2 linked regions of the Saccharomyces cerevisiae S288C genome follow. Each later gene encodes a partner of the first gene's protein in a complex. Each region holds a gene or a part of one and is shown on either strand. Other genes may lie near its edges. The genes, in order: CCL1 and KIN28. A codon is read from its position in the direction of its gene.

Evidence for each region.
Region 2: the proteins of CCL1 (region 1) and KIN28 are in contact, whole or in part, in a cryo-EM structure (PDB 6XI8), measured with the Saccharomyces cerevisiae proteins. Residues at the interface, in NP_015350.1 of Saccharomyces cerevisiae: His51 (codon at 2,232), Ser52 (codon at 2,229), Ser53 (codon at 2,226), Arg56 (codon at 2,217), Phe168 (codon at 1,881), Leu169 (codon at 1,878), Lys172 (codon at 1,869), Ser173 (codon at 1,866), Glu174 (codon at 1,863), Asn175 (codon at 1,860), Val180 (codon at 1,845), Arg191 (codon at 1,812), Leu195 (codon at 1,800), Glu198 (codon at 1,791), Phe199 (codon at 1,788), Leu202 (codon at 1,779), Glu203 (codon at 1,776), Phe207 (codon at 1,764), Leu209 (codon at 1,758), Leu210 (codon at 1,755), His212 (codon at 1,749); in NP_010175.1 of Saccharomyces cerevisiae: Thr40 (codon at 1,748), Lys44 (codon at 1,736), Asp45 (codon at 1,733), Gly46 (codon at 1,730), Leu47 (codon at 1,727), Met49 (codon at 1,721), Ile52 (codon at 1,712), Arg53 (codon at 1,709), Lys56 (codon at 1,700), Tyr57 (codon at 1,697), Gln59 (codon at 1,691), Glu60 (codon at 1,688), Gln62 (codon at 1,682), Ile72 (codon at 1,652), Met74 (codon at 1,646), Asp77 (codon at 1,637), Arg152 (codon at 1,412), Glu159 (codon at 1,391), Thr162 (codon at 1,382).

The regions. Positions count from the first base shown.
Region 1 is NC_001148.4:612,177-628,684, forward strand, and holds CCL1 (TFIIH complex kinase subunit CCL1), read right to left. Parts: upstream 2,383-16,508; coding exon 1,201-2,382; downstream 1-1,200. Other genes in the region: i-AAA protease YME1, read left to right, coding at 1-548; alpha,alpha-trehalase ATH1, read left to right, coding at 3,203-6,838; YPR027C (uncharacterized protein), read right to left, coding at 8,249-9,082; YOP1 (Yop1p), read left to right, coding at 11,351-11,401, 11,535-12,026; APL4 (AP-1 complex subunit gamma), read right to left, coding at 12,293-14,791; CSR2 (Csr2p), read left to right, coding at 15,704-16,508. UniProt on the Saccharomyces cerevisiae protein: Regulatory component of the TFIIK complex (KIN28-CCL1 dimer) which is the protein kinase component of transcription factor IIH (TFIIH) and phosphorylates the C-terminal domain of RNA polymerase II during transition from transcription to elongation after preinitiation complex (PIC) formation, thereby positively regulating transcription.
Region 2 is NC_001136.10:254,558-269,643, reverse strand, and holds KIN28 (TFIIH complex serine/threonine-protein kinase subunit KIN28), read right to left. Parts: upstream 1,947-15,086; coding exon 1,919-1,946; intron 1,838-1,918; coding exon 945-1,837; downstream 1-944. Other genes in the region: MSS2 (Mss2p), read right to left, coding at 1-723; YDL109C (putative lipase), read left to right, coding at 2,443-4,386; TMA17 (Tma17p), read left to right, coding at 4,680-5,132; exosome non-catalytic core subunit RRP42, read left to right, coding at 5,534-6,331; TRM3 (tRNA (guanosine(18)-2'-O)-methyltransferase), read right to left, coding at 6,419-10,729; ATG20 (Atg20p), read left to right, coding at 11,089-13,011; YDL114W (short-chain dehydrogenase/reductase), read right to left, coding at 13,114-14,040; IWR1 (Iwr1p), read left to right, coding at 14,518-14,599, 14,670-15,086. UniProt on the Saccharomyces cerevisiae protein: Catalytic component of the TFIIK complex (KIN28-CCL1 dimer) which is the protein kinase component of transcription factor IIH (TFIIH) and phosphorylates the C-terminal domain of RNA polymerase II during transition from transcription to elongation after preinitiation complex (PIC) formation, thereby positively regulating transcription.

The sequences.
Region 1 (16,508 bases):
GTAGGGCATTGGGTATTACTTTTCAATTGCCAGAAATGGATAAGGTCGACATCACCAAAAGGGAGTGTCAAGCCAGACTGGACGTGTGCATGGGGGGCAAAATTGCAGAAGAATTAATTTATGGTAAAGATAACACCACAAGTGGTTGTGGGTCTGACTTGCAAAGCGCCACCGGCACAGCAAGGGCTATGGTTACTCAATATGGTATGAGTGATGATGTAGGTCCCGTTAACTTGTCAGAAAATTGGGAATCTTGGTCTAATAAGATTCGCGATATTGCTGATAATGAAGTGATTGAACTTTTGAAGGACTCCGAGGAAAGAGCAAGAAGACTATTAACTAAGAAAAATGTTGAGCTACATAGACTTGCGCAAGGTCTTATTGAATATGAAACTCTAGATGCCCACGAAATCGAACAAGTTTGTAAAGGTGAAAAACTGGACAAACTGAAAACTTCCACCAATACAGTCGTAGAAGGACCAGACAGTGATGAACGTAAAGATATAGGCGATGATAAACCCAAAATTCCTACAATGTTAAATGCATGATTTTATTCTAAGAAGTTAAACGTATGAAGGAACCTACCTCAAGACCGAGAATGCTTTGTTCTTTTCTGGTCGGTTTCGCTTTTGCTTCATAACACCAGCAATGAAGCATGATCGCGGGAAACTTTCAGAATCTACATCTTCTCCTGGTCAGCTTGAAACTTCAGATTATTCGTAAGGAGAAATTATAATATTATTTCTGTGATAAGAAAAGAGGCATTAAGCTTGGGTATTTGCGACAAAATACTTCAGGATAACCGATGATCGCAAGTGGGTTATTAATTTCTTTCATCCCTTAACCAACCGTCGCTTTCCCCCAGTGACAAGCCTTAAAAAAGTCACACCATGGAACGGAGTATCGTTGATGATTAAACCAATCATTAATCTTTCATAAAAGTTAAGATAAAAGCACTTGTTGATATATATAGGTACATGTGTATCAATACGCCATACATTGTAAATAGAATATTCAATGGATAAACGTGTGTAGCAAAAATAATCACATTGTAGCGCTAGTTAGCAATTTACTCATTGTCACATTTTTTGCAGTATATATTCATGGCATGAAATAATATAAAATGGCGCCGGTCTATATACCTATGCATCTTAATCTATATATATATATAAAACAGAAACCTACGGTAACAGAGCTGTTTCATGTTTTTTGCTTTTTCTCAACGGTGGACGAAGTATCTTCTCCATTCAACTTCCTTTTTAATTTCTGAATCAGTGTTGATGGATTTTGACAATAATAGTTTTTTGCCGCAATTTTCTTGGCCTCTTCAGTACTCGGAGGTTTACAATCTTCAATAATACTTTTACACTCGCGTATTATGGTTAGTAACTTCGCGGAGTCTATCGAATATTCTTCGCTCTCTGTGGACTTCTCTTTGTTTTTCTCAGTTGTACTGGCATCATTTTGTGGTTCTTCTTTTTCGTTTCCCGGTACTGATTCCTGGCTACCTTCTCTGCTGGGAAATTTTGTTTCTAAATACCTTGTGACCAAGGCTTCATCCTCAATCAATAATGTTGCTAGTGTTATTTGGGGTGGAGTGTAGAAATATACGACATCGGTTAATAATGCGGCAGTTATTCTCTTCTTACACCTATCGTATATTTGGCCCATGTAATTTAAATCAACCTTACCATAAAGGACGTTCTGGATATCTAAGAAAAACCCATGAAGCGGTTTGTAAGGATGATGGTTCAACAGTGAAAATTTCAATGATTCTAACAACTTAAACTCGAATTTGAGAACACTATCTCTAGTAGATTTGGCCTTTTGAGCAAACGAGTCCACGCTAATAAAATAGTTCTCCGATTTGCAGGCTAGAAAGATAGTAGTATGTACAATACTTTTAGGATCTATTTGCATAACAGAATTTTCTAAGAAAAAACGCCTAAAAAAGGATATCGCAGTGGCCACTACTTCGGTTGGCAAATTTAGATGCTGTGCTATTACCTGAACTTTTTTTGCGTAGAAATTCACCAAATCGAGTTCTTCTTCCATTGTCAAAGGGATAGCCTTTGCTTCTAGTACTTTTATTTCTTCTTCTGTTAAATTGTGTGCTTCTCTAAATTTTAATAAATTTTCCTCAATGTAAGCAATCGCTCGGGCATTGGTATCTACCCTTTTCTCCTGAAGTTGATCTTTAGTGTATGACCACATTCTATACTGAGAAGAGTGCCTATATAAATCATCGTCAGAAATTCTTTTGTAGTTCGGTGGCTTGTTATTCTCATCAGCCGATTTTAATTTTGCCTCTTTTTCTTTTGCTGACATGGTAGCAGAAGGAGTATCTAATGTACTCTTTCCATTTAGTTGAATATCCGTCATTCTATCAATATCTGTGCAGCACAGTATTTTCCTCTCTTAAACTTAATATTCACTCATTTGTTTGAGATCTTTCTTAATATAAAAACTGTGTTAAGATCAAATTTATTACCCGGATTGTGAACGGCTTAAACAACGAAGGGATACCGCAGGAAATGAGAGGCCCTTTCTTCTCTGGATGGCAAACAGTTCGTGCTATCAAAGTCTGTACCAAGGTTATTTCACTCTTCAAGCCAGCAATAACTACTTTCTTTCAGGTCACCTCTCAGCCGTCACGTCTCTAGCTGAAGCTTTGTTATTCTCGCTTCACTAAAAACAAGTGTATCTACAATATTTACCAGTCTATTCGTATATCCCTTATCATTCTTTTTCAATAAGGGCAAATACTTCGGAAAAAGAAAGGAACATTCATCTTGATTCTAGCCGTAAAGCTATCACGTTCACTCTAAGCAAGCGGAAAGTTGAGCAAAATCAACGAACAATCTGAGTCAGCAAGGCAGTACAAGCATCTCTTCTTTGCCCCTCAAAATTTATTTCCTTTTTGGTATAGTCTTACTTCCAAGTCCAAGCAAGCACTACGTATCACGACAAACCAACAGCCGCGCCGTTTTTATATTCGGAAAGAGAATTCTTGTCGTTATTGAATAATAATAACAAAATTTCTCCACTTTTCACCATATTACCACTCCCTTTTTTTCAAGTAAAAAAAAAAAAAAAAAGAATCTTATTGCTCCTTAAAAAAGGATTCATCAGTCCTTTATGAGAGCCTGCTAGTATCACCTAATATTGCATCTGTTTTTACCGAAATTTCCTCATTCCAATAATGAAAAGAATAAGATCGCTTTGGTTCAATGCGGAGGCTTCTTATTCAAACCTTAACAATTCTCCTAGTTTGAGGAACAAAAATAGTACCGGTAATAACTCTCGCTCTAAAAATTATCGTTCTTTCTCAAGGTTTGACTTGATCAACTCTATACTTTTACTGATGATGCTATTTTTATTAGCTATCTTCGTCACTGCATTATATTTAACAAAGAGTTCCAGGCTTACATACTCACATGCCTCGAGGGCTGCCCTATTTAACCCTCTGGGTGTGATATCGCCGTCATTGGGAAATCATACGTTGAACTACGATCCAGAAGCAAGGGAATCTTCTAAAAAACTTTATGAACTCCTTTCTGATTTCAACACGGCATATTATGATGATGAGAACATGATTTTGGGAAGTAACTTGTTCTCAAAGAATACATACTCGAGACAACCATATGTTGCTAACGGTTATATAGGTAGTCGTATTCCCAATATTGGGTTCGGCTATGCCTTAGACACCCTGAATTTTTACACAGACGCACCAGGCGCTTTGAATAACGGTTGGCCCTTAAGAAATCATAGATTTGCCGGTGCGTTTGTATCGGACTTTTATTGTCTACAACCAAAACTAAATTCAACAAACTTCCCAGAATTGGATGATGTAGGATATTCCACTGTCATTTCATCTATTCCACAATGGACCAATCTACAGTTCTCATTAGTGAATGATTCTAAGTGGTTCAATCCACAAAATGTTACGTTGGATGACGTAACTAATTATAGCCAAAACTTATCAATGAAGGATGGTATCGTAACTACGGAGTTAGATTGGCTAAACAGTCAAATACATGTTAAAAGTGAAATCTGGGCACATCGGCACATTCATCCACTGGGAGTGGTTTCTTTGGAAATTTCCCTGAATACGGACCATTTACCTTCGGATTTTGATTCATTAGATGTTAATATATGGGATATACTTGATTTCAACACATCACATAGGACTGTTCTACATAGCACGGGAACAGACGAAAAAAATAATGCGGTTTTCATGATTGTTCAGCCAGATAACGTTCCATCTTCTAATTGCGCTATTTACTCAACGTGTACTGTAAAGTATGAAAATTCCACCAATCCAATAAATTCTAGTGAATCTTTTGAAGAAAAAGATGTTTCTTCTAATATTTATAATGTTATTTTGACAGAGGACCAACCCAAGATAATCGTTCATAAGTATGTTGGTATTATGTCTACTGAGTTCAATAAGAACAAAGAACAACAAGACAATACTAATATTGGTTTGGCCAAAATGATAGCTCTAAACAGTAAAGGCAATTACGAGAAGCTTCTGTCAAGTCACAAACGTGCGTGGTATGACCTTTACAACGACGCCTTCATTGAAATTCCTTCTGACAGTCTTTTAGAAATGACAGCAAGATCGTCCCTATTCCATTTACTAGCAAATACAAGAGATTACAATGTCTCGAGCGATAGGGGTCTTCCCGTGGGAGTTTCTGGTTTGTCATCAGATTCCTATGGTGGTATGGTGTTCTGGGACGCAGATATATGGATGGAACCTGCCCTATTGCCTTTCTTCCCAAATGTGGCTCAAAATATGAATAATTACAGAAATGCTACACATTCGCAGGCAAAGTTAAATGCAGAGAAATATGGATACCCCGGAGCAATATACCCCTGGACATCTGGTAAGTACGCTAATTGTACTTCTACGGGACCTTGTGTCGATTACGAATACCATATTAACGTTGATGTCGCTATGGCCTCCTTTTCCATATACTTGAATGGACACGAAGGGATTGATGACGAGTATCTGAGATATACTACATGGCCAATTATCAAAAACGCAGCCCAATTTTTTACTGCTTATGTTAAGTACAATTCTTCCCTAGGATTGTATGAAACATATAATTTGACAGATCCCGACGAGTTTGCTAATCACATCAATAACGGGGCTTTCACGAATGCTGGCATTAAAACACTTCTAAAGTGGGCAACAGACATTGGCAATCATCTCGGCGAGGTCGTTGACCCCAAATGGAGTGAAATTTCCAAAGATATTTATATCCCTAGATCCTCATCTAACATCACTTTGGAATATTCTGGTATGAATAGCTCAGTGGAGATTAAACAGGCGGATGTGACTTTAATGGTTTACCCACTTGGATATATCAATGATGAATCCATATTGAACAATGCAATTAAAGATCTTTATTATTATTCAGAAAGACAGTCTGCGTCTGGGCCTGCAATGACATATCCGGTTTTTGTGGCCGCAGCTGCTGGTCTGCTGAATCACGGCTCTTCTTCTCAAAGTTACTTATATAAATCGGTTCTTCCATACTTACGGGCTCCTTTCGCTCAATTTAGTGAGCAATCAGACGACAACTTTTTAACAAACGGATTAACCCAGCCAGCATTCCCCTTTTTAACAGCTAACGGTGGATTTCTACAGAGCATTCTGTTTGGGTTAACAGGAATCCGATATTCTTATGAGGTTGATCCAGATACTAAAAAAATTAACCGTTTGTTAAGGTTCAATCCAATAGAACTACCGTTGCTCCCTGGTGGTATCGCTATTAGAAACTTCAAATATATGAACCAAGTTTTAGATATAATAATTGACGACCACAATGGTACGATTGTTCATAAATCAGGAGATGTTCCTATTCATATAAAGATACCAAACAGATCTCTAATACATGACCAGGATATCAACTTCTATAATGGTTCCGAAAACGAAAGAAAACCAAATCTAGAGCGTAGAGACGTCGACCGTGTTGGTGATCCAATGAGGATGGATAGGTATGGTACCTATTATCTTTTAAAACCGAAACAAGAGCTTACAGTCCAACTGTTCAAGCCTGGCTTAAACGCAAGAAACAACATAGCGGAAAATAAGCAAATAACAAACTTGACGGCCGGCGTTCCTGGTGACGTTGCATTCTCTGCTCTAGATGGGAATAATTACACGCATTGGCAACCCTTAGACAAAATTCACCGTGCGAAGCTATTGATTGATTTAGGTGAATACAACGAGAAAGAGATTACCAAGGGAATGATTCTTTGGGGGCAGAGGCCCGCAAAAAACATTTCCATATCTATTTTGCCTCATTCTGAAAAAGTCGAAAATTTATTTGCGAACGTGACAGAAATTATGCAAAATTCGGGAAATGATCAACTTCTTAATGAAACCATTGGTCAGCTTTTAGATAATGCCGGAATTCCTGTCGAGAACGTTATTGATTTTGATGGCATAGAACAAGAGGATGATGAATCTTTGGATGATGTGCAAGCCTTATTGCACTGGAAGAAGGAAGACTTAGCCAAGCTAATTGAACAAATACCCAGACTTAACTTTCTAAAAAGAAAATTTGTGAAAATTCTGGATAACGTGCCAGTGAGCCCAAGTGAGCCATACTACGAAGCAAGTCGCAACCAGTCGTTAATCGAGATATTACCCAGTAATAGAACGACTTTCACTATTGATTATGATAAATTGCAGGTGGGTGATAAAGGGAACACAGATTGGAGGAAAACAAGATACATAGTTGTGGCAGTACAAGGAGTGTATGATGATTATGATGATGATAACAAAGGAGCTACAATCAAGGAAATTGTTCTCAATGATTAAATGAAATGATGCATATAAGTAGCGCTTTTTTTAATATTATAAGTTTGGATAAAAGTTACCAATTTTTTCGTAGGATATATATTTTAAAGGCACTATATTGAAAATATCATGCATGCTTATATAAAAGCTTTTTTTTTTCTATAGGGTGACATTTAGGAGCAATAATTTTTACTACAAGCTTTTTTTGCACCTTATATAGTAGTGACCTTGAAATTGGTCTTTTGCACCAGCGTACTTTAATTCCACTAAGTACTGTTTAGCAGCCTGTTTTCCAGAGCCCACAACAGTTTTCTATAAAATTTTCACATGCATTATATAGACATGATCTACCTACCAATTTGATCTTCCTGCCATTGAGATCAGTTCTTTCATTACATTGATTGCACATTTTTAATTGGCGCCTTTTCTAATTTTTTGTATGAGTCCATATTAAAAAAATAGACTTCAAATTCCTACTAGACGATTCTGATTCCATCGGGATTACCACCAGATTTGATATTGGCTCTTCTCTCGTCAGTAGGGTTTGAACAGAAATATTCCTAAATTTCTCGCAACTTAAATTAAATTTGCAACGATAATGTTTGCATACATTTTTATATTCTAGATTCAATACATTAGAGGTAACTTGATGTAGCGCCAATCTGAAAATACAGAAGCCTACTAGGCAAATATTTAAAGCTCTATATACTATTCACGAAAGAAAAACGTACTTTGTATAAATTGAAGAAAATGAGTTTGTGTTAGTTGGGTCCTGCCATTTGGTATCCTGAAGGTTTTCTCAAGGTGGGGTGGGCTAATCTACAGGAATAGTTTATAGTAATTGTGTGTTAAGAAGTATTTTGGCTTTAAATGACGTCCCCCACAAATTTATTACTTCAGGTGTATAATGTATTCACAAATATGTTCGTTTCTTTTTTGCTCTTCATCGTCCCCAGTTTTTCCTCACCCTTACAAAACAAAAACGGCAGGAAAAGGGTCCTATGTAAATTAAGCAAACACTGCGGGGTAGAACCTAAATTTTAATGTATTTTTTTACAATCCAACCAAGATTAAACCAATTGCCGAGCTTTTTCCTTTCTCGGTGAAACAAACCTTTACAAAAGATACGCCAGAGTAAACGCATTCCTACAAAAAATGAAAGATCTTCATTATTTACACTCTTGTAGCCCACTAATCAATTGGTTTCGCAACATTGTTCAAAGGCAGTGGTTTCTTTTTCCCTGAGTATCCTACTATAGTACAAAAAAAAAAAAAAAGAGTGAAAAAATCAGAAGAGAAAATTATATCGATTATAAATTTTTCAAGTACATCGTCTATCGAAGCTAAAGACTTGAATAATTAAATTTCTGGAAATGGGACAAGTGTACTTATCAACAACGAATAAGGTATAGCAAAGTTTAGAGAATTATTTTAATTATCCCTATAAAATGAAACCGATATTTGAGATTTGTTTGGGCCTTTTTCTCTCCCATGAGCAGTGAAGCCTACAGCAGAACCGTCCCAATTTTCGTCGGTGATTTTTTCTGAAATTTGATAAAGCTGAGACTTAAAATTACCTGATATTTTTCTAATGTTTGATATTTTCTGGAAAACGCCATTAGCAATTCCTTGGCTGTTTTCGTTTAAATTGCCCTGTATGTCCGATAATTTATAATTTGTGAACTCATTTGAAGCGCCTTTTGTATAACAAATCTGCTGGGCCAAGCCTGGGAAAGGCAGAGCCGTCTTCTCGCCAAGTTTGAGAATCAAACAGTTTTGGTTTAGTTCACTTCCTGAAGTATTCATATTTACTCCTAAGTATAGGTCGAGAGGTTCAAATGTTGTTTTGATTTTTTCATTCACATAATTTGAAGGTAGCTCGACGTATTTTGGTTTAATTAGGTCATATAACCTTTGCGGTTCATTGATACCATCATTTTCGAGCTTGTTGATAAGCTCGATGATTAATGAAAACATTAAGATTACAACTCCTAGCCCACAGGATATCATATTGGCCGGATTTTCACCTACAGAAAAACATGATACCATAGTTTGAATTACTTGAAGTGTTAGTTTAGTGTCATCCAGTTTCTTTTCACTAACAGATTTTGTAGCGGCAGGTGCAGGTGCAGTAGAAGTTGATGTCACCGTTTCATATACAGTTTTGATGATTGTAACAGTATCTATCATGTCATCATCATGGAATGCAAAAAGAAGACCCAGGAGTGGGACGAACGAAGCAAGTATTCTGTAAATACCAACCATTTCTTTTTATCTGGCGCTTTATATGTTTATGAATAGTACGTTATGATGATTGTTTTTTTACAAATGTTTGTGAATTACACTAATGGTAATTCCCTCTTTAGTTAGAAGTAATGGAAAATTAGTACTTTCTAATTCTTGTGATCAACGCTTTTTCAACGTTGCCATCATCAACAGAATCTCGATCTGCTAGCCAACATCAAAAAGTTGTTTGCCGCACATCATGTAACCGAACTTTCAGTACCACAAAAACTAATATGCACGGCGCTTGAAAAGTGCTTTAATTTTGTAAACTATTTTGTTTTGTAAATTTCTAGGCAGTTGAGGCTACCGTCGTGACCACAGAAAGAAAACATCTTCAAAACACTTTAGTGACTGTCCATATAGCCGCCGAAGTTAGTCGCTGATATAATTTGAAACCTACATTATTATTTGTTCGTTTGGAAGACACGTTAGGTTTAGTATCAATAAACTTCCCATCCGAAACACTTATTCTACTAGTGTGTTTCATAATGCGTAAGCCAGCACGTATATATTCATCTCAATTTGTTACACACTTAACATACTATATAATTCCTGAGAAAATGCCCAGCTCATAAACATCGGTAGTCCAATTCAAGAACGGGGGAACTGAATTTGGGAGTAATCAAAAAAAAAAAAAGACGTTACTTCATCGTTTTTGTTGTCATTGTACACTTCTTTCATTTCTTTTCAGATTTAACTTCTCTGTCCGTAGTCGGCAAATAACGGTCCTTTAAATGCAAGGGATCATCAAGAGATTTTGAAAAACTGTGGAGCCAGATATTTATTTGTCAACTTTGGACATCTACCTTAGTCTGTCTGCTTCCCTCTTTTTGACCTCTTTTAGTAAACTCTGAGGTGGGATGACTGACTCTGACGGAGAAAGTATGTAGATATCTCAAGAAAGTATCAGTCCACGATATAGTAGGAAATATTATACAATACGTAATGGAAGCAAAGTGTGCTTCCATGAGTTTTAGACAAATTTATGTCCCTAAAACTTCGAACTTTTAACGGGAACAATTTTGGCCGTGATAAATTCTTTTCCAACGCTTATATTGATTATCCGTTATTGGTTTTTTGTTGGAGACATTAAAAGATGGCCAATGGCGTAAGAAAATTTTGAAAAAAAGTCAGACATTCAAGTTGAAAAACTCCTTCATCTTCCTACTTGAGTCTATATTTTCATTGATATTTCCATAAGAGAAGGAGCAGTCAAGTTCAAGAACCAACTTTCCGCAGTTGGCAGGTCGAAAAAATAAATGCGAATTCTGTGGATCGAACACAGGACCTCCAGATAACTTGACCGAAGTTTTTTCTTCAGTCTGGCGCTCTCCCAACTGAGCTAAATCCGCATATCAGAATGAAATAAACAAGCATTCTTGTGCTTTATAAATGGTCCAAGCGTCTAACTTTTAAAGAGTACATTCTAAAAGTAAGAGACGAAGACAACATTATAATAATTTTCTCAAGACATATATGTTTCACCGGCACGTTTTGTTTTGTCCCCTTTTATTTTGAGCCTGAATACTATGCTTTATAAAACTTTAATGCGCTCAACAAGTGCACCTTCCAACGGAAAAAAAGAAATTCAACAGGGAGCGATGCCATCATCACATGCACGTTTTCAAGTATTTATAAGACTTGCTACTTGCTCGTCCATTCATGACTTTAATGAGGTTCTAATTTATTGGTGCAACTCTTCAAACTAGCTGCCCAATCAGTGCTGGAATGAGTGCCAAGACAAGCGACAAACCCTGTCAATCTCCTGAAAAACAAAAATTAAGTGCTTGAGAAGACCTTCAGAAGAGTTGCATAGATAGGATGGGTGAGCGCAATTACTAGTTACGCAGTAAGTAGGTTATATGGCTGCTGGAGGGGCAGTACTGATTTAATCACAATCCGGATTAAACTTCCTCCTGAAAAAAAAAAAACTACATCAAGTCAAAAGATTTTCATTCACTCTTTGGAAGGCTGTGTGGCATTCTAACCTTTATTTTTTTATCACCATTCTCGAATTTTCGTGGTTCGCTTTCTTAGCGCCGTTATTCTCTCTTCTTGTCCACGTCAAAGGGAGTATGCGTAACCCCTTTCAAGGTTGAACGAAAAAAAAAAAAATATGTCCTTCAAAATTTTTTTTGATTTAAAACTAAAAAACATTCCCTTGAAGCTTGTTATTCCGAAAGAAAGAATCTAAAATTGCAATTGGTAGTGAAAACAAATAAACAAAGACATAACCGCACTCCAATCATGTCCGAATATGCATCTAGTATTCACTCTCAAATGAAACAATTCGATACCGTATGTAAGATGGTTTTATTGGTTCCATCGTCATCATGGTTCAAACAGCCAAATGACCCGACACACGTAACCGAAGCAGTTATACTAACAAGAAAGCTAATTTTCACCCTCCTTGCTACATTTTTTTCTACAGAAGTACTCTGGTAATAGAATTTTACAGCAATTAGAAAATAAAACTAATTTGCCTAAATCTTATTTAGTTGCTGGTTTAGGTTTCGCTTATCTCCTTTTGATTTTTATTAACGTCGGAGGTGTAGGTGAAATTCTTTCCAATTTTGCTGGGTTTGTGTTGCCAGCATATTTATCGTTGGTTGCTTTGAAGACACCAACGTCCACCGATGACACACAACTCTTGACCTACTGGATTGTCTTTTCATTTTTGAGTGTCATTGAATTCTGGTCCAAGGCAATTCTATATTTGATTCCATTCTACTGGTTTTTGAAAACCGTTTTCTTAATCTACATTGCCTTGCCTCAAACTGGTGGCGCTAGAATGATCTATCAAAAGATCGTAGCCCCATTGACCGACAGATATATCCTAAGAGATGTTAGCAAGACAGAAAAGGATGAAATTAGAGCTTCCGTCAATGAGGCTTCTAAGGCTACAGGTGCTTCTGTTCATTAAGAGGCAACTCACCTATATCCTCAAATCAAACTCTCGTTTTTGTTCTCTTTGTTATCTATTCTATTGAGAGCATATAAGTACATATGTTATTAGTTGTTATATATCGCTACTTAACATATAAAATATTTTGGAGTCGTTTATGGTGTCCCAGAAGATAGCATTTCTATTCATCGTGTTGTGTCGTGACGTGTCTCTTGATATGCGCGACAGACCATCCAACGCAAGGTCATTAATCATGTTATGTTCTGTAATTTTAAAGGCATTTTTTATAGAGTTTCATCGAATTTGTGATCGAACTGTTCATTGGTGATAGATGAAGAGCCATTTAAATGAAAATCCAACTTAACTCTTAACTTCAGTTTCCCAGATCCAGAAATTTTCAATGACTGCTTGCAAATTTGGCTGGCGTTTATTGTGGAAGATGGATATAACTGGCCTAGTGTTAGCTTTTGAGCTTTAGGAACGGCACAGAAAGTTTTTAAGTCAGATATTAAAGACTTTGCCTGAAAATATAAATCCAAATGTGCTAATCCAGAGTTTGCAGAGAGCAAGGAAGCATATACATTCAGTGAGGAACTGTCATATATCTTGTTGGCATCCAATGGTAAGGTGACACCTGAGTTTGCCTCCACTGCCGACGAATGATTGATTGATTCTTCCTTGTTCGCATTTTTGGGCACCTGAGCAATGTCATTCTTCTCTCCAAAAATCTCTTCTAATATGTCAATTGGTTTCACATTGTCACCAGTAGAAGCCTTGCTTTCAGCCTTGCTATCCTCACCCAATAAATCTGACAGCAGATCAACTGGTTCGTTGGAGATAAGGTTTTTCGATAGAGCTTTTCCATTATCCTGTTCCTCGGTAATTTTTTCAAATTTAGGCATTGTTTCTAAAATGATCTTCTTCACAGAAATTGACTGATTGAAAAATATCTCGTATTGATTGCTTTTCATTTGCAGTGATAAATCAGTGGAATCCGTGTAGCTCAATATCAGTTGTCTTAGTTTTTCAATATTTTTCGCGTCATGGAACCTCACAGATAATTTTAATGCTGCTGTTAAAATGTAATTGATTATCTTCAGATTCGTTGCTGTGTAGAGTTCTTGCAAAGTTAGTAAGTAATCAGTAATAGATGACTCATTGATTATGTCTGCACCATTTTTATTGCCCTCGTTGAGTACTAAATCGCCATATTCGCCAATGCACCAAATCAAAACCAACTGCCAACCAATATTTTCCTCGGAAATCTCCGCTGATGTTCCATTTAGTGAAATTGTCAGCATTTTCCGTAAAAATTCAGATTTGTCGGATAACTGGCTCGTATTATTTATTATGATTAGAATATCATTAATTTTTTCATAGTTGATAAACGATCCCACTAATTTTAAGATATTAAAGAAAACATCTAATTTCCAGCTTTCATCTTTGACAACGCGGGTATCAAAAGTGTCAATTAAGTGATCTATAGTGTATATTATGAGATCTTTTGAATCTTCATCCTGTTTTGCCAAAAATTTCATCAATTCGTTAACCAATTCCACTAAATTTGAATCGTCCAAGATGGCGAAGCTCAACTCTAACGCTCTCATGCGGATCGACACATCGGTATCCTGCAGACAATGAGAAATGAATTTTCTATGCCTTTGTACTGCGGTAGGCTCTTGGGGAACAACTTTTAATAAGGTGTTTAATGAAACGTATTTAGTATTATTATCTTTTCCTGCAAGAAACTTGGCCAAGATGTTAATACCAAGGACACGTAGAGGCTGGTTCAAATCCAACGAAAAGATCGTCTTCACGGTCTCATAAAGAATGGCCTGTCCGCTGTTTTTCGTTGAATCCGTATTCGTCGCAATACGAGTCAATAAATCGCAGAAATTATCTTTGTAGTCCAAAACATTGTTCGAATTTAAGAGCTCACCAACTTGAAAGTATAGTTTTAAAGTGTAAATTATTTCACACTGCAGAAATGGGTCACAAATACCTTGGACATCATATCCAGGTTCAATATTTTTAGAATTCATATTTTCCAAACGAATGAAAAAATCACGCAAAAGTAAAGATAATGGAGACAAGATGTCATTGCTGTAATCAATACCGTCTTCATCTTCATCCTCATCTTTTTTTCTGTTCAATCCAATTAACAAAATAGATTGTATGATTTTCGTAACGCCTAAAAGTACACCGTGAGTACATATTGAATGACTAGACAATATCTTAGTAATGTCTTCGATGTTGAAGATTTCTAAAAGTGAAACGTCTTTGAAAATTAGTTTGGCAGCACATTGAAGCGCTTTTTTCAAGAGGAAAGGGTCTCTTGAATTTTTGATGATATTTTCGACGTCTGGGTATAAATCTCTGGCTAATTCAGGGGAGCTCAAAAAGCCTAATGAGGTTAGTGCAAGTGACACTGCATATTTGTTGGGATGATGCAAATCGTTGTTCAACATGTTCGTTAAGAGTGTCAATAAATCTTCAGATTCGTCCAACAATAAAGTTGCGGCCAGATAGCCTAATCTTTTATCGACAAAATCGTCAGAAGCAATTAAATTGATAGACTCCACCTGACCGAAATGTGTCTTTTCCCCTAGAATGTATAGATACAGAAGTTTCTGGATATTTACTCGCCTTTTTTCATGTGGTAGATGGTCATCTCTCAATTTTGTCCTAATTTTAGCAGATTGTTTCGTTATAATTGCCCTTTCATCTGCCAGTGTTTTGGCACCACGAACGTCTTTGATAAAGCTTCTCAACGAAGAGCCCATTATGGTGTTCAGGTCTTTCTCGTTGCTAAATCAAGATGGTCAATATTTCTTCTCCAATATTAGCAGTATAAAATCTCGAAAAAGTATGATTTAGTTGTAATTCTCATATGGCCAAGCCCACTAAATTCAGTGAATACAAACAGCTAAGGACGTCAAAACTCAGAGTCGGGTAATCTTCATTTGAATTTTTTTTCTCTTAAGGTAGATAACACCAAAGAAAAGCAATCAGTAGCAAAATATGGACTTTAACGCTGTCAGTTCCAATTGAGAAATATCGTAAAGAAAGTTAGTTGTTTTCACTCGCAACCTCTCTACCTTCGTGGCCTAAAATAGATTTAAATAATCGAATAAACGGTTTGTTCTTATATGTGATACCCTCTTTCACCACCTTCCTGTAGCCCCAGTTGGTATTACTTGTCCCAACCTCATTCCTCTTTCCATTATCAATTAATCGGTTTGTGTTGTTCGTAGCAGGACCACACTTCCGGAATTATATACATTTACATGTATATAGAGAAGAAAGCTTCGGCGGCTAAAGAATAGAACCATCTATTACCCGCTCGCCCGGTCGTTTGGATGCGTGGGTGGTATAGTTTCTTTTTTTTCATTTTAAGGGATACCGCTCCCCACGTACCCCACGACCAGCCCTAGTGGAATAAGAAATGCAAAATCCGGGGTTGGCGCAGCGATTCTGCACGGCCAAACCCTGGGCTTCTTTATTTTGTAGATCTGCCAAATGATGGCTATGCCTTACTCGGTATCACATGGAAAAGACCCCCGGCTTATTGAATCCCGTCTCCCGTTCCCTGCATAGTTGTCACGGTTTGGACTATATATATCGTCGTTTCTCTGTTTTATTTATTATGATGGCTCTCCAAGGGTAATCAGTCAGACTAGTAAGCAAAGTCAATCATGCAATCTACTGTCCCAATAGCAATTGCGAGCAACGGCAACAAGAGAGATGTCGTCCAGAACGTTTCTGCAGGCGACGAGGGTGATATATTGCAAAGGCTAGCCCGTAACAGAGAGATGATTTCTACCTCCCTCTCGCCACAAAAATCGTCAGGATTTAGTGGTAGAAGGAGGTCATCTAGTGTTAGGGACGCCCTTTCTTCTTTTTTTGGAACTGGTAATAGTCCAACATCTAGTATGGACGATTATTCCAATTTGATGAACCGTAACTATTCTACCGCATCAACTGCCATGTGTAGGGGGAACAGTTTTCCTTCAGATGTTGGCACTAAGGCTTACAATATTACGGGATCTTACCAACCGGATAGGCACAGGAATTCTGTTCCGTATACCACCATAGACCAGTTACACACAAGGCAAGACACCGGGTTGAGGAGAGAGTCAGATCCAGTCGCGGCAAAACAAATATCTAGTAATAATGATATTGTTAGGTCATTCATAACACATCATGCTAGTAATAGCACTATGTTTATTAATAGGGTGCTATCGGACTATTTAGCGGATCGTGGTTTCATCAAGCAAACACCGTTATATAATAAGAAAAGTGTGCTGGAAATTTCCATTGCAACAAGTGCAGAATCAGTTTTCTTGCCAACTACAAAAAGTGATGAAACAGAGTATCTATCACTGATTCATGGTTCTTTAAATCAGGCGCGAACACAGCCTGTCGGGTCCACTAACACTGCAGAAAGTGATTTCCTCCCTTCATGTCCTACGATGGACACTTTGAATGAAAACAATGATT
Region 2 (15,086 bases), on another chromosome or scaffold:
ACTCATATATAACCTCGCTAACAGAAAGTACCAACGTGAACTTCTTTCAATTTCCAGCAGTTCTATACAACTCAGCCATGACTTTTCTGCCTTCAAAAAACCATTGACTTGCTTTATTTGGATTTCCCCAAGTTTTCCGTGAACTTCGCCTGCCAATTTGGTACTATTTTCCAATTTCAAGAACTCTTGGTAATATTTCTCAGCCTTATCGTAAGTTTTGTTTTCGAAAAACAGGTCCCCTATTAATTTAACCGTTAAATGATGGTTACGCGCATACAGCTTCTTTATGAATTCATTAGCCGTTTCAATGTCTTTTTCATAACTGGATTTGACGTTTTCCTTTTTATATTCATGTATCACGTTGAAGCTTAGGATGGATATAGCATCGTTGTTGCCAAGTTCGGCAGCAATATTCAATAATTTATCCTCCATAGCTAATAAGTCTTTGTGGACGAATTTGTTCTGCGTCCTTAGAGTTATCAAGACGTTTCGCATCTGCATAATGTCTGAACTCCTTATATAGGGGTATTTCTTCCTCCATGGGATATTCTCTTCATTAGTATTTTGTGATACCTGCAGAAATATCGGGTACATTTCATGGTATGTAAGCCTTGTATCTAACTGGAATAAAATTTTGTTAACCGTACGTTTCTTCGGGAAAATCTCTTGAAACTTTTTGGGTACTGGTGGTGTGGAAACAAACTTACTGACAAACCTCTGCATATTTTAGATCAGATATTTCTTGCTTTTGTTTTCGTTTTCGTCTGCTACTGTTTGTCTCCCCTCATATTGTTGTTGTTAAAATCTAAAAACGAATTCCATAATGATGGAAAAGAGTTAAAATTCAACACCAAAAAACAAGACGCATCAAGAAGTTTATTTGTATATGTTGAGGATACATCTAATGTCAATAACACAGATTCTACAAATTTTATAAAATCATATCAGTTACGTATTTTTATTGAAGACGGGTCACTTGGTGGTGGTAATTCTTTGAAATAATCACTTTCTAAACACTGAACAGCGGTCCACCTCTTTTGTGGGTTCATCGTTAGCATTCCACACATAAAATCTAAGGCGTATTCGCTAGCAGCAATGAACCTTTTCCTCAATTCATCTCTTGAAGGGGGCGGATATATTTGTAACTTGTTATACGTCATAAAGGAAGAAACTTCGGGCCAATCTCTATCTGTAGGTGTCCCTAAGGCCCTGAACGTTACTTCCATTTGATCGACATCATTCTGTCCTGGTAAATAAGGTATCCTTAGCATTAATTCCGCGAATATAACGCCTACTGACCAGATATCAATAGCCGATGTGTAATGTTTAGCTCCAAACAACAATTCTGGCGCTCTATACCATCTTGTTACGACGTTACTTGTCAGTATCTCATGTGGGGCCGGTATCGCCCTTGCTAGACCGAAATCTGCTACTTTTATCTGGCCATCAGGTGAAAATAATAAATTGTTTGGTTTCAGATCCCTGTGCAAAATGAAATTTCTGTGGCAATGATACACGCCCCTCAAAGTCATAAGCATCCATGCCTTAATATCTGCTGGTGTAAACAGTATTGATTTGTCTTTTATTACCACCTCTAGATCAGTTGGTAGGAACTCCAGAACGAGATTTAAATTATCATAAGCCATAAATATGTCTATTAGTTCTATGACGTTCGGATGCTGCATTTCTTGGAGGTACTTAACTTCACGGATAGCTGACATATCTAAACCATCTTTAAATTCGGATGTTTTGATCTCCTTAATAGCAATCTTTCTTCCAGTAGAGTGTTGACAACCCAAGTAAACAACCGCATAAGTACCCTCACCAACTTTCTTTTCTGCGATGAATCATCATTAATCAACGTTAGTATCATTATTGAATGTTAAAAGAAAGACGACAATATATAACCCCCACATACCCTTTGTGTACTCCATATTCACTTTCATATGTTCGCTCTGAGGCCGGGAATATTTTTTTTGATGACTTTTAAGTAACTGTGATTTCACTTGTATTTTTTTTCAATGTGTTTTTTGAATCTACTTGTAATATTCTCTGCACAATGCTTCAAATGAAGCTTCACATCATAACACAAAAAAAATTGTAGGTTCATCCAATGGACGAATCTTTCTTAAGGCTTATGCTTGAAGACCATTTCTATATACCAAAAAATTACAAACTGGCAAGATTGATGTCTTATTGAAACTGAAAATCTTTCAAATTAGAGGGTGATTTTCAATTACAATTGACAACTAAGCCGACTTCCCCTGAAACCGCTTCTGAATTCTTACAAATTTCTCTTGGAGGATTTGTTCAAGGTAGTGTGGTATGTTTTTAGCGTATTAACAGCAAGCGTTGTGTCTGCAAACAAAGAGAAAAAATATCAGTACAAAAAATGCTCACCTGACCTTATTCACCCAAAAACATCGGGGAAACGGTAGTAATATGGAAGCTGGCAGGAGTGCTGATGAAGTGCTATACCACAATCAGTCGTCAGTAAAGTTAGGTGAGTTAGAAAGATACGTTATTACATATGAGCTATACCAGGGTGATAGTATTCCCGCTGATATCACACTGGATTCCCTATGGGTAAAGATCAAAAATACCACAAAGCTATCCTATAAACCAGCCTATCTATTGGGCCCATTTATCTTATATTGTGACGTGCGAGCAAAAGATTACGAAAGCTCGTATAAGATCATATGTTCGGCGGATAAACCAGTATTTCAATCAAACCTACAGGCACAACAAAAGTTTATTGCAGAGTTGTCCTTGCACCACATTAAGCCACGCTATGTATGGATAGTGGATATTGTCAGTCAAATACTATTTAATAAAGAAACTAAGGTAACTTTTGAGATAGTAGTCGGCAATTCAAAGGCCTCTTTGAAAAGAAAAATACGATGTAATGATTCATTGCCTGATAAAGCCTGCAATATTTTACACACAGGATTATCGGTGCATAGACTTACCACCGCAGATATATGGAAAGTACCACGACCCATAGACATGTCGCAAAAATCCCATTTAGTCATTCTCACGCATGGTTTTCAATCAAACGTTTCGGCAGATATGGAATACTTAATGGAAGAAATATACAAGGCTCAAATGAACAATCCAAATGAGCGACTAGTTATTAAGGGATATATGAAGAATGCTTGTGAGACTGAGAAGGGTATTAAGTTTTTGGGTGTTGGATTGGCAAACTACATCATCGACGAGTTATATGATGACTCTGTTGGGAAAATTTCATTTATTGGTCATTCCCTGGGTGGATTAACACAAACTTTTGCTATTTGTTACATAAAGACCAAATATCCATATTTCTTTAAGAAAGTGGAGCCAATCAATTTTATCTCACTGGCGTCACCATTGCTAGGCATTGCTACCAGCACGCCCAATTACGTAAAAATGTCATTGTCGATGGGTATCATTGGTACTACGGGGCAAGAACTGGGTCTTAAGGATGGAAATTATGGTGATAAGCCCCTACTTTACCTGCTATCCGAGGAATCCTTAATCAGTGTGCTTGCTCGATTCAAAAGAAGAACACTTTATGCTAATGCCGTCAACGACGGAATAGTTCCCTTGTACTCCTCTTCTTTACTTTTTTTGGACTACTCTCAATTACTTCAGAAACTGGGAGGTCAAACTACGGCACCTTGTGATCCTCTCTTCCAGCCTGAAGTAAGTCCTATTGGGGAACTTCCAAATCATAGCGATGTTGCTAATGATGATGATGGAATCAATGCATCGTCATGGAACACGTTTTGGAAGAGCAAGGAAAATAACTGCGACAAGAAATCTAAACGCTTGATGAATGCTTCCGTCATCAAATCTATGAAGTCTGTGCTTCTATCACCATGCCCCGACGCAAAGTTCTTCTCAGATCCCGATGCAAGGGTCGCAACAATCATACATGATAAGATCTACACAGAAAAGAATTTACCGCCTCCATCACCAACACTTTATGAAGGAACAGCAGCCAAGGAAGGCGAAACGAGGAAGACGAGAAAAGAGATGGAGGAAATCATAGCACGCCGCTGGCACAAGGGGATGCATTGGAGGAAAGTCGTGGTATTGCTGAAACCAGATGCCCACAATAACATCATCGTAAGAAGAAGGTTTTCCAACGCTTACGGCTGGCCGGTGGTTGACCACCTTGTTACCGCCCATTTCCAAAGAGATGACCCAATCGCCTCACCAATGCAAGATAAACAGTTTGCTGAGGAAGATATAAACATGGCAACCGGAGGGGTGGAACCAAACAAGTTCTACTCATGGCTCACCAAGATCGAGGATCCTAGTGTGTACCATGGTGGAATAGTCTCCACAGCTAGCCAGCTCGCCAGCTCCTGGATTAGCAAGCATTCCTCTGTGACAGATTGACTGTCTATCTTGACGTCATCCCGGGATTGACTTGCAATTTACTATTGTCCACACCTACGAAAGTCCATTTTACTTCGTAGTTCGATAAATGCGCTTACGGGTCTTTTTCGAGCGGGACAACTCTTCAGCTCCTCCCCTAAAACCGAGGCCGAATATCCCTTCTCCATATAAATAAGACACTTTTCACCAGGAAAACAATACTTCAGAAGCTTATTTCTCTTGACAAAAAGAGGGGTAAGATCTTTATAAAACATAAAGCAAATCAAAACATAATAACTACTACAAGTAACATAATGTGCTCAGCAGGCGGTATCAGAAGACCAATCCAGATCGAAGAATTTAAGACGGCGATAAGCGGCATGTCCGACATGGAGTTGGCACAGATTAAAACAGAAATTGAGAACAGTATCAATCATTTGCAGAGGTCTAACGCCCGCTTGGGTAAATACATAGCTAAGTTGGAGGGTGCTGACGACCGTCTTGAAGCTGACGACAGCGACGACTTGGAGAACATTGATTCGGGAGACCTGGCGCTGTACAAGGACTCTGTCAGGGAGAACGAAATTGTGCTAAACAATTACAATGAGAGAGTGGACGCATTGGAGCAAGAAACGGTATATAGAAAGACGGGCCATGGCAAGAGTAAGCACGAGGTAGAGGCAAAGGACAACACCAACAAGGGCCCTGACGTTGACATGGACAATTCAAATGTGGACGTCGTGACACCAAACAGCATATTCATTTAAGAGACGGGATTTAGTTTTACTGCGCATCATTTTCACGTCATACTCTTTGTCTCTCTGTTCTATCTCTTCGTATAAATATTTCAATAACTCCATTTGTCTATTCTATCTACCCGTTCTATCCTTACTACTAGATATCTTAAAGAAATAATAAAATAAGTAAATACAAAAAAAACTCGCTATTAATAATTTATCTCCGAAAGCCCTAGGGTGTGCTTTTCTTCCGTGCCCTAGTCTATTATTTTGAACCCTAGTTGGCGAAATTTTTTTCTAATATTCAGAAAAAAGAAACGTAGAGCTTATATGGTGAAGGAGTACAATGATACTAATAGTCTGTAGACGGCAAAAGGCATTCTTTTTGACTAGCACAACGACAGTTTGAGATTCTGTTGAAATAATCATTTATGTCTCTTTCGGTCGCCGAAAAGTCGTACCTATACGATTCACTAGCAAGCACGCCTTCAATTAGGCCCGATGGAAGACTACCTCATCAATTCAGACCTATAGAAATATTTACTGACTTCCTACCAAGTTCCAATGGATCGTCCAGAATTATAGCTAGTGATGGAAGTGAATGTATCGTGAGCATTAAGTCCAAAGTTGTGGATCATCATGTGGAGAATGAACTACTTCAGGTCGATGTAGATATCGCAGGCCAAAGAGATGACGCGCTGGTAGTAGAGACAATCACTTCTTTACTGAACAAGGTTTTGAAGTCTGGTAGCGGAGTAGATTCCTCAAAGTTGCAATTGACAAAAAAGTACAGCTTCAAAATATTTGTCGATGTTCTGGTCATTTCATCACATTCACACCCAGTTTCTTTAATATCCTTTGCTATTTATTCAGCGTTGAACTCCACATACCTACCGAAACTTATTTCAGCTTTTGACGACTTAGAGGTGGAAGAACTTCCTACGTTTCATGATTACGACATGGTTAAGCTTGACATTAATCCGCCTTTAGTGTTTATATTGGCCGTTGTAGGCAACAATATGCTATTGGACCCTGCAGCCAACGAAAGCGAAGTGGCCAATAATGGCCTAATCATTTCCTGGTCTAATGGTAAGATTACATCACCTATCAGATCAGTAGCATTGAATGATTCAAACGTTAAAAGCTTTAAACCTCATTTGTTGAAGCAAGGTCTTGCAATGGTGGAGAAATACGCCCCCGACGTAGTACGATCACTGGAGAATTTATAAAAATATAGTCACAATTAGATAAAAAGACAAATTAGTTTACATACTAAAAACTTCATGGTTAACAAAAGTGGGAATGAAACCTGATTCTTACATGTGTTGAACTGTATAGGAATGAACGATAACTGCGGTTGCCGTTTGAATATTCATTGATCTGATCACACCAAATTGTTGAATCTCTAAACATAAATCCAATTCGCTTAACAAAGTCCCCGGAATACCGAATGCTTCGGTTCCTAGCAAGATCAATGATTTTTTAGGGAATTGGAAATTGTTGTCTAGCTTCACTGATTTATCCGTTTGCTCTAGCCCAATTAATGTGTACCCTTCCTTCTTTTTCTCTTTCATGAAACTTGCAATCTCATCTAGGGCAACTTCCTCCATGGGCATCCATCTATCAGCAGTCACAGCAACATTTTTAAATTGAGGATGGTTTTTGACTTTGATGTCTTGTACAGTAAGCAGTCCCACACCTAAAACATCACATAACCTACAAATACCTCCCAGGTTTGGCGGCTTATCAACTAATGAAGATACCACAATCAATTCAGAACGTGTAACGACATCATTCGATTTTTTATTGTCCAGATCCAGAACGGTTTCCCAAGCTCCACTTTTTGTTTGCAGTGGAGAAGTGTCACAGGAGATGTTCGCGTTGTTAACAGATTCCGTATTGGTGTCTCTTTTATCAAGCCATAAGGACCTTTCATCGGTACCTATAGGAACAATATCTTTCTCCTGCAAATATTTTTCGAAAACAGACTCAGAAATGTACGGGCAATCATGGTCGGTAACTTTTTTGAGCACACCACCAAACATGTTCGTTAATTTCCTATCACCCTTCAGATCCCATATGTTGGCATCCCCGGCACGATATTGACCAAATATTTGAGTCTTTTTGGCATTGGAATATAAGTTCTCAATGATGTTTCTCAGTGTGTGATCCGATAGGTAGGCTTTGAATGTAGGCCATAATGAAATTATTAGAGAATTAGAAAAATGCCTTACCAGAGGTTTGTTTGAAGCTGCGTTAGGAACTAACGTGCAAATGAATCTGTCTAGTAACTGTGTAAATCCATATTTCTTTTCGTCGTTTCTTAAATCTTTCAACACCATAAAGCATATTTTTTCTGCGCTAACTACAAACACCGGTTTGCTATGATCCTCCAGCAATGAGAAGAGATAATCCTCAGCAAATTTTGGATTGCCAGTTTTATAATAATCAACAACCTTTGAGGAAATGAACCATTCTTTATATACTCTTACTAGTGGTGAACTTTCATCCTCGATACTCTTTAGAATTCTGATCATGCTAGTTTCGCTTAATTTTTTTTCATTGGTGGTTAGTAGTGATAATAATAACAATTGCCACTGCAACAACCTCTGTAACGCTTCGGCACCGTCGGTTCTCTTTATAGCATAAAGTGCGTTTGTTTTTTCAGTAACTTTTTCGATTAATCGAATTTTCAACTGATCATTTGCATATAAAATAGAATCAATAATAGATACTCTAGCCAATATTTCGTCGGGTCCGTACACCTTTTCATAAAGTTCATCGCCTTTTATGTAATAATTGTTCAGTTTGTGGTCAAATAGGCTGGAAATAACAGGTTTGAGCTTGTAAAGGTTGACATCCATTTGCGGCTGTTTGAAAACACCTACTATAATGTTAATCAACCACCAATAGTTGACATCTTCTCTTAACAATTTCCCATAAAACTTCATAAATACTCTGAGTTGTGATCCGAGAAGAGGGAGTAGGCTTCTTCTGGAATAACTCAATGATATAATCGTTTGTGCATGTTCCTCCAACTTCGAGGTCAAAGTATCGATATACTGATTTGATCCAAAGTACAGGATCACAGGATGAAATAATCCCTTAATTAGCATCAAATGCAGATCCCTTTCCTTCAAAACTAATCTTTCACTATTAATACATTCCCATATAAACGAAAATTTCTCAAAAATGAATTTCACTATGAAAATATCATCATCAGAAACAGATGTGGAGCAATGGATGTAGGAATCTATGATAAAGTACAATAATTTACAGACTGCCAGGTTCCCCAGATAATTCCCATTATCTTTGTTAATATTCTCGTCAACTAAGCGTAGTAGTATGTGAAGCTCATCATCATTTCCTTCAGAAGAGTCACGATTTAAGGCGTATGTTTTCAGGAAGGTATTTAAAAGTTCAAAGTAAGAAGAATAAGCGCTGTCCTTCACTTTAAAGCTCTCTCTTGAACACTGATTGGCAGACTTTTTAACCATTTCATATAGGCTCAGAAGGTCATTAAAATTTAGCTCGATTGTATCGAACCTACATTCATAAGTCTTCTGGTAAATTTCAGCAAAGAACTTGAATTTATCAAGCGAAAATTTTTCCATTACCGACTTAAATAAATTATTCACATTGATGGATTTCCATGTAGATATTGTAAAATTTGGGTAAGACAACAAAGCGGTTGCATTTTCATAGGTATAACCGTTCGAAGGTTCGCCTGAAAGTAGCTGAGTTAGAAAAGTAACTGCCTTTGAAGTGTAAACGGGTATATCTTGCTTCGACTTCGCAACTTCAATTAAAAAATCGGGAGTAATATCAATATCCTTGAAATCGAAGATGATAGATGCTAAGAGGTCAAAAATAGTATCCTTTCCGATGTTTGTCGTCAAGTTTTCTTTCGCTTGCAAATCGTCAAAGTGAGAAACGGCAAGATCCCTATAATCTTCAAAAAGAGGCTCAACATATTTGTATGTCCCTCCCTTTAACTTAATGTGTGAAACTAATGTAAACAATAATTCAGATGCGGAGACAGATGGATCAATGTACAGTAAGAACTTCAAGTAAATTGTTTGGATTGTAGTTTCGAGAACCTCTTCTTCGGCTGCAAAATCGTACAATTTCCTGATCAGACTCAAATGGTCAGAGTTGATTGTTTTCTGTTTGTTATTCTGGAAGAAAACTAAGATACCGTAGGACAAGTATATCCTAGAAGGGTCAAAAGAGGTCCCTTTTTCCACCAATAATTTCAAAATTTCAAATAATATATCTGATATGCCTTCTGTTGTTTGGGAAAGTAAGTTATTGACAAATAATGAAAGTTTTTCACCATGGGGACAACTGACACCTTTTACATCAAAATAATGAGCGGACATTGCAGCTGGAAGAAGAGTTTTTGTCAATAATGGCAAGTTTGAAGAGAATGCTGACATATTTGTAATCGAGAACATTAACGTCATCATGTATTTTCTGACACTCTCCATTGATGATTTCAATCCCGTAGAAAGCAAGATAAGGCCCCAACTATGGTGTAAATGCTCGTTATCAAAAATTTTTATTATATCTTGTTTGGCCGCTTGTATTTGATTCAATGATGTGTCCAGAGCAATCATTTCATATAAGGTGGTGAATTTCTTCCAGCTACCCAGCATCTCGATATTTGCTAGATCATTGCATTTATAAAATGTTGTTTGCAATGTTATACCATGAGATGACAGTTTTTGAATTGTTAATTTAAGAATTGAGAGTGCCAATTTTCTGTGTTCGTGCACATCATTATCCAGCTCTGTTTGAATGTGCCTCCAATAAGCATCGGTCTTTATATAAGTAATAAGTTCAGGAGACAACTCTGCTGCTAAAAGGAATCTTAGGAGAAAAGATAAACTGTTCTTTTGCTTCCAAGCTTGTTGGGAGCCTTCAGCGTACAATTGTTTGATAAATGTCCAAATGAGCTTATCAAAGTTACTATCGGTATTGCAGCATTTCGATAAATATTTGATATGCCATCTCATTAACTTGGAGCAGGAATCAGCAATCTCTTCCGAATTACAGCCTAACAATGGAACAATGATAAAATCTAGGCATTTGGACGATATACCATTCTTACATTCGTCAAATAAATATACAACTTCTAAGTAGTGAAGCAGGCTAAGGATATCTAAGTGCAGATTTTCATGCTTGATATTAGCGTTTTGTTCCTCAGCAAAAGAATCGAAAAATGGTTGTACAATCTTTTTTCCAAAGTTGTCATTGAAGAGATGTTTATAGTTTTCGCTAATGATGTCATTTAACCGGTAGCTCATCCACACCTGAAATTTATGCCATACACTGGGTAAACAACATAGTAATTGTGCAGAAGTTCTTAGCGCCTTGTTCATTTCAGCCCTCGAAGAGCGAAACATTTCCCTGGCTTCACCGTCTATACTAGCATACGCAATGACCTGCTCAGTAATTTTTTCAAAGATTGGTGTTTCAATGTTGCTGTCCGTCGTTATATCCAGTGGCGAAGTTTCAATCAACTCCAGCACCTCTTCTAAGCTGTCATTCTGAATCAAGTCTGATATAAGCTTTAGTTGCTCTTCGCGTGGTAAATATTTGCAGATGAGAGCACCTCCAACCATTTTGCTGGTAAAAAAAAGGTATAGAGTTTGTAACGTTCGTTAAACAATTCTTTTCACCGGATTTTAATAAGGCTTGGCTTATTTGCTTACTAGCAATTATATAGTTACAATAGTGCTGTTTCAATCTTGCTCATCGCCATGGTGAAACTTTTCGAAAAACACTTGAATTTTCATTCACGTGATCTACATTCCCTTACCCGACAACTCACCCATTGTGCCCCCTTTAAGATATGGCTATTGAGTAAGCCAATATTTATCGATTTACAGCAAGTCATCTCCAAAATGAAGAGATGACTAGCTCGAATACTGGTGGTGCAATTGAACATACCATCTAGAAAAGTTGTCTTCTACAGCACACAATGTCAGACTTAAATGATGTCCAAGAAAATGCTAAATTGAATTCGGAAACTCGGAATACAGGAAAGGCTGAACCACCTCATGGGACAACTGAGTATGTGGCAGAGGCAGAAATTTCTAAGAATGGAGTTGGATCGCCAAAAAAGAGCCCAAAAAAGGGTAAGGTTGGAAAGGGGGACAATAACAAAGTAGAAACTGAGTTAGTACACACAGCCCTGTTAGAAAAAGACAACCCATTCATGGAGGAGGGGCCAACAGGATTCACAAAATCAGCTTTATTAGAAATACCCGGTATGAGAAGCCATAACCTAAAGAACCCGAATGAAGATTACGAGGATGACTCTGAGGGATTATTGCCTTTAAACCAAGAATCGAATGCAGAAACATGTAGAACAAGTCTTAGTGGAAGTATTAACTCCATGAACGGAGAGACCTCTGCGTCAGAAGAACCTTCTGTAAGTAATAGAAAGAAGTCCGCTAGGATACACATACTTGAAGCGAAAAGAGTTTCCGAAGGTCAAGGAAGAGCCTACATCGCCTATGTTATTCAGTTTGAAAATTCTACCGTTCAGAGACGTTACAGCGATTTCGAGAGTTTGAGAAGTATCTTGATAAGATTGTTTCCTATGACGTTGATACCGCCGATTCCAGAAAAGCAGTCAATAAAGAATTATGGTAAGTCAATAACTGGTTCGAGTTCAAAGTATTTGCTGCCCTCAGAAGGTTCTGGTTCAGTAGATCTATCATTGTCTGTGATACATGCGTCGGTCAATAATAGTGATGAAAAGTTAATACGGCATAGGATAAGAATGCTCACTGAGTTCTTGAACAAACTTTTGACGAACGAAGAAATCACAAAAACATCTATAATTACCGATTTTTTGGATCCTAATAACCATAATTGGCATGAATTTGTTAACAGTTCGTCCACTTTTTCATCTTTACCGAAGAGCATCCTCCAGTGTAATCCACTAGATCCCACTAACACCACTAGAATTCATGCCATGTTACCAATACCGGGCTCCTCGTCACAGTTATTGTTGAATAAGGAGTCCAACGACAAAAAAATGGATAAGGAAAGAAGTAAGTCGTTTACTAATATTGAACAGGATTACAAGCAATATGAGAACTTGTTAGATAACGGGATTTATAAGTATAATAGACGAACCACGAAGACTTATCACGATTTGAAATCGGATTACAATGAAATCGGTGAGGTATTTGCACAGTTTGCCCATGAACAGGCTCAAGTTGGGGAATTGGCCGAACAGCTTTCTTACTTAAGCAATGCCTTTTCGGGGTCCTCGATTTCTTTAGAAAAATTAGTTGGAAGACTATACTACAATATAAATGAGCCTTTAAATGAATCTGTTCATATGGCAACTTCTGCAAGAGAATTGATCAAATACAGAAAATTGAAATACCTGCAAAATGAAATGATTAAAAAGTCTCTGAATTCCAAAAGAGCACAGTTGGAGAAGCTGGAAGCGCAAAACAATGAATATAAGGATGTTGACAAAATAATTGACAACGAAATGTCTAAAAGTCATACTATTAATCTGGAACGCCCTAATAATAATACAGGTAGCGGTGGGAAATCATATGGTGGCAAACTATTCAATGGATTTAACAAATTGGCATCAATGGTAAAAGATTCTGTGAAGTATCAAGAAACAGATCCGCATACCGCAAGTATCAATTTGAAGAAAGAAATTGAACAACTGTCTGAATCATTGGAAGTTACTGAGAATGATTTGGAGGTCATTTCAAAAGTCATCAAAAATGACCAGCTACCTAAATTTTCTAAAGAAAGGGAAGTAGATTTATCAGAAATTTTAAAGCATTATTCCAGATATATGAGAAATTATGCCCGTCAAAATTTAGAAATTTGGAAAGAAGTCAAAAGACATCAAGATTTTGCATAGTATTATGAGCATTTTTTTTTAGCGTTATAGCATACTTGATATATATATATATAAACAACGTGAAGATCAAATAACGTCAAATGTATTAAATAGACTAAAATATTATGCACTTCTCTTCGGATTTATTGCTCGCGGGCTGGTTGACGTTACATGGTCCATTCCACTGAAATGTTTTAAGAGATGCCTATATGGCCAACTCAAAGTTTTGAAAAAGGGAACTAGGTTCACATAATATGGGGCATTTAGTGTTTGCAGATGATTATGCTCCATCGCAGAGATTATCGCTAGTGCCAGTTGGGAAGGTATGATGTCAGGAGCCAATAACTTAGATGGTGTAGGGACATCAATAAACATATTAGTTTTGATTTTTCCCGGGCACACCAGTAGTGTTTTTATTCCAGTTTTATTACATTCCGTGGACAAACTTCTGAAATGCCTGCTCATACACTTGTGAAAACCAATCATTGCTCCTTTTGATGCACCATACGATGTCAGCCTTGCAGGAGTCAGTTCTCCGAGGACTGAAGCAATGTTAATTATAAAGCCTTCCCTATTGTCTATCATATCTTCTGCAAATGTACTGATGATTCGGTAAGCACCTATTAAGTTTATGTCGATCAATTGTTCTACCTCCTTGTTTGTCATATGTTCTAACTTTTTGATGTGAGCAACACCAGCATTATTTATAATTATATTAATGTTGCCATGATCTCTTTCAATAGCTTTTTTCAAATTTTTAATTTCATCTAGACTTGTTATGTCGCATTGATAGTAGAAAATGTTATTATATTCTACCTGAGCAAAAGTAGGAAATGATTGAATATCTGCCACAATAACTTTATTAATTCTTCTGGAAAGTTCCTTTGCAAGTTCAAATCCGAGTCCACTAGAACCACCGGTTATTAGTGCAGTTGCATTTTTAGAAAGGATGGAAGGGTTGTAGCTGGGCAGACTTAGGATGACTGATGGAAAATCCTTGAGGTGTTTTGTAGTTCCACTCGCTCTATTTATTTTATTCTTGCGTACCATAATTAATAATATTTCTTACCCATAAAACTATGTTAAATATGTCACTGAATCTCTATTGAGGTGTCCTTTTGATGATGCGGTTTCAGATATGAGAAATGTTCATTCAAGAAGTGTCACAAATTCTGTTCCTCTGCTGACGCCCGCTACATATTGACGTTCAAAAATATAGAAGAAAAAGGCAGTAAAGCGTTAACATAAGAAAACTAAAGAGCAAGTCTGATTTGGCACTACCACGCTTCCAACAGAAGTAATTGTTGCTTCAAATAAGTTCGCAGCATGTGGATTCAAGTCCACAGATGCGATATTTAGGAGCCCAATCAGATAATATTGATTCCGGGTTATCTCTTGTTTGTGTCGGCACAGGGGATTTAAATTGTGTAATGCTCAAGACAAGTTATTGATGAGAACAAGAGATGGTATATAAAACTGCTCTCTGAGGTATAGCTTTTGTTGAGGTAGGCATACAAGATTTCGGGAATGAGCACTATTAGTACCACAACGGCACCTGAGTTTATCAGAGTAAAGAGAAGAAGGGATGAGGATTCTGTGCAGGCATTATGTATGTGTTGTTATTCTACCGATATAACAAAAATGCGTTTGACTAACTAAGTTCATCTGGGACAATTCAGTAATTGATGAGGGGAAAAGAGTGAAGAAGCAGAAGTTCATATTTAAATTATCAAAGACTGTGAGCTCTGAAAGCTATCAATCCGAGCAAGAGTCTTCTACGCCACTCTTAAAACTGGCTCATGAAGATCATCGACATTTTGTATTGGAACAAAGAAAAAAAAGTCGTAGAGACTCAGATGATGAAAAATCACAACAGCGGCTTGCAGCAGAAGGAAGTACTGTAGATGACGATGGGTTACCGCCAGAGATCAATCAAATGGTGAATGACTATTTAAAGTTGAATAAAGGTGTAGAAAAGACAGAAAGAAAAAAACCAAGTAGGAAATATTTTACTGGGGATTCTGCAAAAATTGCATCACTACCCAGTTTAGATTACGTTTTTGACATCTACCATTTGGAGAAAATTCATGACGATG